Linked DNA regions of Daphnia pulex. The protein of the gene in region 1 purifies or fractionates together with the protein of each later gene. This does not show direct contact. Links are inferred from orthologs where the notes say so. Each region holds a gene or a part of one and is shown on either strand. Other genes may lie near its edges.

Region 1 (3,757 bases):
AAATAGCTTTGTAGCTCTCGAAGGTGATGGATATCTTTTTCTTCTGCACGGTGGGATCAACCGACTCACCACTAGCTCCCTTTTGCTTGTCAACATCTTCACTGGAAGGAACGCCATTCGTTTCTTCTTCCTCTACCGACAGATCTGGCTGTTCAGCATCTTCCAAATCAATATCGGGCTCTTCAACGCGGATGATGGATTTGTTCAGGAGCCTATAAGCTTCTTTAACATGGTCTTTTGTGACCAGACTCAGACAATACATGCGAGCCATCGCCTCTGACAAACGAATCAAGCTTTCCAATTGGCGAACAGTAATCCTTGAGGCTGACGAGGTTGAACCACCATCACGTTGACGAAGTTGGCGGTAGGCGTTAACCAGATAGTCAGCCGCTTCTTTACTGAGCTTCGGTTGGAATTTACGGGCGAATGTTATGTAGCGTCGGATATCCTCAGTCTGGTACACTCGTTCAATCGATTCAACGTTTCTCCTGTGAAGATCGACGATGCTACGGGCGATGGAATAGTCGACGACTTCATTACACTCATCAACTAAGATGAAAAAGAGATCAAAACGAGACATAATGGGCGCGGTCATCATCACGTTCTGTTTCAGGGATTTTGTTCGGTCGTATCGTCCTCCAATGGGATTGGCTGCAGCCAAGATTGAAGCTCGAGCGTTAAGTGTTGCTTTGACTCCGGCCTTGGTGATGGAGATGGTCTGCTGTTCCATGGCTTCGTGGATAGCAACTTGATCGCGAGGATCCATCTTGTCAAACTCGTCAATGCAACAGACACCATTATCTGCTAACATGAGTGCTCCCGCTTCGATAACGAATTCATACGATTCTTCATCTCGTACCACAGCAGCTGTTAAACCAGCTGCACTGGATGCTTTACCAGAAGTGTAAACTGCACGAGGGGTAAATTCGGCGACCTGGATGTAAAAGAAATTATAATAACAATAAAAGTAAGGAGGAAGAAAACTGTTGCCGAAATTACCTGCTTTAAAAACTGCGACTTTGCTGTACTGGGATCGCCAACTATGCAGACGTTGGTGTCTCCACGCAACGTAGTATGCTCAACGGTTTTTTTGGGAACACCGCCAAAGAGCATTAGTAGAATACCTCGCTTGATTTCGTCGTTTCCGTAAATGGTGGCAAACAGACTTTTGATCAAATTGTCGTACAAATTAACGTCCTGTGTCATATTGTAGATACGGTTCCAATCTTGCTCTGACATTTGATTTTTGATATCAACTGCTGTCATTTCCTCTTGATGCAAGTCTTTACCACCAAACTAATAATAAACCAACAGGGTTACCATTTAAATATCATTTTTATCGATAAACTTGACTTACCATGGGGTTGCTTTGGGTAACACTGCAAGCTAAGAAAGCCAGTCGGTAGTTTAGGTCCCTGACACCCAAATTTTTCAGTCCGCGGACACCTTCAGTTTCCGGACCTTCACCAGTTTTCCGTGATCCACTTTCCGCTCGAGCACCAGGTACAGAGATAGAACCGACATCAGGGACAACGATAAGAGTTCCAGTGAAATCGCACTTATCACCAGCTTGCGCTGTTTCCACTGCTTCAGCTCGTAGAATAACCTCAACACTAAACAGATTGGCGTACACTTTACTAGTCATGAGTAATTCAACACTTTGAAGTTACCTGCGTGGAATACATCCTCGAGGGAGTTCTGCTTGCGTTTCCTGAATTCGAACTTTTTGAAAATCAACGAACCGGGACTTGTTAACATTTAGCATGAATCGACTTCTGTTGAAGCAGACAGGGTTGCGGCAAATAGAAGGTTGTGTGTACTGCAAAATAAAATCATTAAAAAAAATTTGAATAAAAATAAATGTGTTTCTACCTTACCTTGAACTGTTGTTCTACATCCTTAATGACTGTTTGACAATCTAGGCAAACAAAGGTAGCGCTGACCAATTCTGGATGAACTGGATGGGTACGAATAACTTGGCCAGATATCTGAAAGAGCGAGCCAATGCTAGCTGTCTTCAAGTCTCTGACCTTGTATTTTGAGCTGACATCAACAAAGCTGATGTACAGTTCTTTCTCCACATTGAAATCAGCCTTATCTCTCACATAGGAATAAACAGCTTGGCAAATGAAAGGGTAAACACTAAATGTATAAAAGACATCAATTAATGTTCAAGTTGTTCAGAAATGTCATAGTAAGGAACAATACCGGTAATATTCAGCCACGATTGTGACAGCCAAATTGCTGTTATATTTCTCGACATCCTGAAAGCTGACTTGAAGTGTATTTCTTTCTGGTTTTACAAGTTCTTTAGCCTTTTCCAAGTACTTTACTTCACCATCAACTTCAAAACTAGAGAAAGAAAGTTTTTGCATCACCCAGCTAAGCATGTATCAATCATTCATGAACAGCTTTGTACACTTACCCTTCAAGGAAATCCAAGAACAATTTTTGACACCTTTGAGCAACATCATCCTTGAGTTTATTTTGTACTTGTTGAGCACCTGCAACATCCATAGTTTAAGATAATCAAAGGAAAAATAGGGATAAAACTTTGATCACCACTTTTCGTGCAAGAACAAACACGCAGAATGAGCAGACAACGAAATTCTGGCGCGAAAATGGCAATGAGAAAGATTGCGACGTTGTCAGGCACAAAGAAAAAAAACAAAGAAAATCTGAAATTCAAATGTGATTTTCCGAGTTTTCGACTTTTTAAAAATGTTTTAAAAATAATAAAATGTTTACAGAAAAATGTATTGAACTAACCAAATTTTTTTATTGTGTATATTTGTCTCTTGCCAGGCCTGCAGGCCAAATTAGTGGATACCGACATACCTAATAATAATTACCTGGCGGATTGTTTACTGATCCTCTGACTGATTATCAATTTTCGATCATTATATTTGGTTTATTATTCTTATTTAAGGGAAAATTTGTATTTCATTTGAATGAATAATATGGGTAATAACTTCAAAATTGTAAATAGACGGAAATCATTTTCGTTAACTAATGCGTTCAATTTATAAATCAGAAAATAAATCTCGCCAGGTAGTTGCAGATGTTTTTCCGGATCCCGGTGCCCATATAAGTTCACACCATGACTTACAATGACCATGCTCAGTTTAGAGTGTTTTCTCAAAAAGTCAAACATACGACGATTTGAAAATGACAAACCAAAAGGAAATTGTTCTTCAGGAATCGATTGAAGCAGTGAAAGATGTCGAAATGGTGTGGATCACCAATTTGGCTCGTGAGACTTCCGAGCAAGAAATTGTCAACTTTTTCGAAAAATACGTCGGACCGGTCGATTGTCTTACAAAGCACCATAACGCAGATGGCCACTATATGTGCAAAGCCGCAATATATTTCCACCAGCCAGATCATGCCCGGAAAGCCCTCTTCTACGACGGAACAAAGTTGGGCGGTCGTCGAATGAATATCAAACTCTTCGTGAACCAGAAACGTGTGTATAAGGATCAAATCGTAATCCCTGGCCCAGTTTATTCAACCCTGTTGCCAACTTCCAAGCCAACTTCACTGGAGAATCGTTCGTACACACCTTTAACTGATTACGTCATCTACCAAGATTTTCAGAATAATGGCCAATTCCACCAGTCACAAGAACCGGAAGTAACACAGGATTCTATCCCACTATGCCACGAATCCCCGCAGTCTGACATCAGCGTACGCGAGGAATATTTGTTTGTTTCGAACTTGCAATACTCGACCACCGGGAAACAAATATTGGACTACT
Region 2 (3,757 bases), on another chromosome or scaffold:
AGCAACACAAATCTCATACCGGAGGAGTCAAAAAATACAGATGTGATTTCTGTTTGGGTATTTTCAGCTGCTTGCTCAAAGGCTTTTCCAATCAAGCTGTGACAATCGTTGCAAACGGTTAAGAAACGGTAAATGGAATTCTAGGAGATGAGGCACTTACTTTTTAGGGGAATCCAATGATAAAGGAGGCAAACCCAATAAAAGGCAATGAGATGGTCGAGACGCCGATGGGGCTGAAATGATGAGTGGAAGCTCTCTCGCTCTCAATCCACGACCTCGTGCTCGCGAGATGTGGGCTTTGAGAAGAAACTGTCCCAGCATGAGCAAACTGTGCGGATAACCATAGTACTTGGCGTCTGGTGTCCCCTGTATGTTGCACAAGTTGTTTAGATGCTATTCGTGTCAGGGATGAATACGATTCATTATTATTACGTCTTGGATAACTGCGTACAAACAAGGTCCTGCGCTGATCACGTGACCCATATCCAGACAGGTGTGCACTTCTTTTCCGATCGCCATTTGCTGAAGCTTGGCCAGTTCGATTCCTTTATAAACAGCATCCATTTTCGAGCTAAAAGATATGAAAGGAACAATGTCTCAATCACGATTCTTTCTATGAAGATGACTTGAGGTTAAGAAGCATACTTTGAAAGACATTCCAGTGCGTCGTGAAATGCATCGGCTGGATCTTTATCCTTTTCGGCCGAATCAAGCAACGCTATAAGAGCGTAGACATAGTCACTGGCGGAATTCTTTGGCCGGAATCCATACTGAGAATTAAAACTGTATTCAACGAGGTCTTCCAAGTCGTATTTTTCCACTTTTTTCTGGAAAATGGCACGCAAATCATTTCGAAGCTCGATATCCATAGAGTTAAATTTTTGGCGACACTGAGACAGTGGAAGCCTGTGAGCAATAATAAAAGACATTGCAATAATAGTAGTAAAATATATTTGGATTCTGAAATTACCCCAATTCAGCTAGAAACTCGTTGAGTTTTTTCTCTCCTTTCAGTGTCCAAAGTTGAAAATGACTGGCTGTTTGAGGAGAGTATTTTAAGCTTTCCAATAAACTCCAGTGTCGGTACATTGACAAATTTAAACTGTTTAAACAAAAAGTTAATTTAAATTACTGTAAATTAAATAGCAAAAATATTATGTTACTCTTTTTCGTGGGTTATATATAGTGCGTCTTTGGTTCCTGTCGATTCTCCACCGTGTTGCGATAAATGGGCCAATCGAATCATGTGACTTTGCAATTTGCCATTATCAAGAACCGAGGTTTTTGATTCGACTTTACCCAGAAGCTGCTGTTCGTTCACACCAATAATAGCCCACCTGCAATACCAATGAACCATGTACATTCTTACTCAGCTAAAAATTTAAAGAATTATTACCACAACAAGTCATTGCTGTCTCTAGATAATTTCCAGGCAAGTTCAAACATAAGAAGAGCAGTCTAAACGACGAAAATGAATGGTAATAAAAGTTGAATACAGTTTTGATTTTGAATTAAACTTACCGACGATGAATAAAAAGAAAATTGCATATAGTTAAACAAAATCTCCTTTCTTTTCTCATGCCATAGCCTTTTTTCTCTACGACGCATAACCATTTCAGCAGGATCCAATTTCTGACGTTTGGATTTAGATTCACGAACTTCTTCTTCATCATCATCACCATCACCATTTGCTTCTCCATCTGAAGGATTGCTGCCCTAATTATTTTAAAAATTTATCAGTTTCAAATTTAAACATATGCCAATTAATTAACTACCTCATCATCATCATCGTCATCATCATTCCCAAAGATATCTTCATATGTTGGTATATCTTCTTTCTCATTTACCTTTCCCAGTATACAAACCTAAACAATGGCACACAATCAACAAAGTTTTCGCTATAAAAAGTAAACAGTGATATTTACCTGTCCATCGTTGTAGATGTTACAAACATCATATGGCCGATGTGAGTCTGCAATATAGAAGATTTTTTCCTCTGATGGTTCTAATGTTTCTACAATGTCCAAAGTTCCTCCACAGTTTATCAGAATAATGTGGTTCGACTGTAGAAATTATATTGACACTCACTTCTTCAACACTATATATATTATTACGAATGCATTTTCACCTGTTCACAGCTCTCTTTGTAGGCTGAAATGAGATCATTTTGGCTCTGCACAGGGACTATAGAATAGCTGATTGAATCACAAAGTAACAGGTACTGCAGAATTCGACATGAAGCTATGGCATCCACGTCGAAATTCACAAATATCAAGACACGCTGTACAAAGAAAATATGAGAAAGACATTACTTTATATCACACACAAAATATCGGTAAATCAGTCGTTCATTATTACTTTTCCCAATATAACATCGTAAAACTCGCGTTTGAGGTCACTGAGAAACATTGTTAGCCATTCACAATACCCTTTCCCTGATCCCTCACTCTTCTTTTCATTCGGTACGTGAAATGGCGCGAAACTAACAACAAAATCGAAGCCTCTTCTGGTGTCCCTTTAACACAGACAAAGGAATTGATTTTGTTTTTTCGTTCGTTTTTTAAGCACACGTGATATTTTTATATTTACAAACAAAGAATTCCACACACAAAATATGAAAAATTTAATTTTTTTATTTCCCTTCTTTTTAACGCTTACTTAAGTTTTCGTTGACAATTAGCATCCGAAATTCAAATGACCAACCAAAAGTTTTCAACTTATTTTGTAGATATTTTTCTCTGTTAGAATAAATCGTCTTTATGTAAAAATCTAATTTTAATCAATCATTATCGTGGATAAAGCTGATGCAACTGTTAAAGATTCAACTATTGGGGTAATCAAATATTCGCATATTTTAAAATATTTCACGTACGGATTCTAGTAAAGTTTTGTATACGCATATGTAGTTTTTTACAAATAATAAAAACAATACGACTTTAAATGCACAAGCATGTTAATTTATCAGCTGTAGGTCTTTATAAACCGTAGTGTCTGTAGCAATTCAACAGTTGGGCGCACGATCGTCAAGGTGCCAGCGCTTTAGGTAAAAGTTCCCCACAAGGACCCGAAAAATGAAATCTGCCAGAAACGTCAATAACGTGTTATGAAAAGAACTTTACGACATGCAAATGTTTAGGTGTTTCATACCCAAAGTGATGAGTAGCAGGAGTAGTTTCCATATTGAATTCCGCGACGGGAACCCCTCTTTCAGCAACCTGGGGAGCAAACATTGCTGCTGGATAGACAACTGATGATGTTCCAACGACCAAACACAGATCGCAACTATTAAGTTCCTCATCTAGATAATAAAATAAACACGTAAATAGGACACATAAAAAATTGACATCGAAGAAAAAATTGTACTAATTACCAGCTTTTTTGAGAACGGCAGAATCCAGATTTTCATGGAACCATACAACATGGGGCCTTAGAAGGCCTCCACAGGAAGAAACTTTGCATCTGGGCAACAATGATTCTGGAACCAATTCTCCAACCTCATTTGGGGATGGTGATCTAATAAGGGTAAGACAATTAGATTTTTATTTGAAATAAGTAAAAAAGGAAAATCTTACCCCTTTCCCCTAAGAGCTTCACAAATGGGACTGTCATGATTGGGTTCTATCTTTTTACATTTCAGACACCGAGTCTTGAACAGACTGCCATGCAGTTCTAAGACATTGACTGAACCAGCCCTTTGATGAAGTTCATCAATATTTTGGGTGATCACACTGACGTGCCTTCCTTCTTTAGTCATTCT

What was found. Proteins that work in one complex are often made in the same cells at the same time.
Region 2: the proteins of zygotic DNA replication licensing factor mcm6-B-like (region 1) and cell division control protein 45 homolog purify together in Drosophila melanogaster (affinity purification with western blotting; 3 studies listed by BioGRID, with this or other methods). This does not show direct contact. The link is inferred for Daphnia pulex from reciprocal best matches to the Drosophila melanogaster genes Mcm6 and Cdc45.

The regions. Positions count from the first base shown.
Region 1 is NC_060017.1:7,927,023-7,930,779, reverse strand, and holds the start of zygotic DNA replication licensing factor mcm6-B-like, read right to left. Parts: upstream 2,622-3,757; 5' UTR 2,518-2,621; coding exon 2,426-2,517; intron 2,353-2,425; coding exon 2,209-2,352; intron 2,143-2,208; coding exon 1,878-2,142; intron 1,820-1,877; coding exon 1,671-1,819; intron 1,614-1,670; coding exon 1,358-1,613; intron 1,297-1,357; coding exon 1,000-1,296; intron 935-999; coding exon 1-934. UniProt on the Drosophila melanogaster protein: Acts as a component of the Mcm2-7 complex (Mcm complex) which is the putative replicative helicase essential for 'once per cell cycle' DNA replication initiation and elongation in eukaryotic cells.
Region 2 is NC_060026.1:14,328,111-14,331,867, forward strand, and holds the start of cell division control protein 45 homolog, read right to left. Parts: upstream 2,497-3,757; 5' UTR 2,410-2,496; coding exon 2,359-2,409; intron 2,282-2,358; coding exon 2,129-2,281; intron 2,064-2,128; coding exon 1,926-2,063; exon of another isoform or gene 1,866-1,925; coding exon 1,776-1,865; exon of another isoform or gene 1,717-1,775; coding exon 1,522-1,716; intron 1,479-1,521; exon of another isoform or gene 1,459-1,478; coding exon 1,397-1,458; exon of another isoform or gene 1,338-1,396; coding exon 1,164-1,337; intron 1,103-1,163; coding exon 971-1,102; intron 907-970; coding exon 646-906; intron 572-645; coding exon 433-571; intron 367-432; coding exon 161-366; intron 97-160; coding exon 20-96; intron 1-19. Other genes in the region: NAD-dependent protein deacylase, read right to left, coding at 3,024-3,078, 3,148-3,298, 3,371-3,513, 3,573-3,757.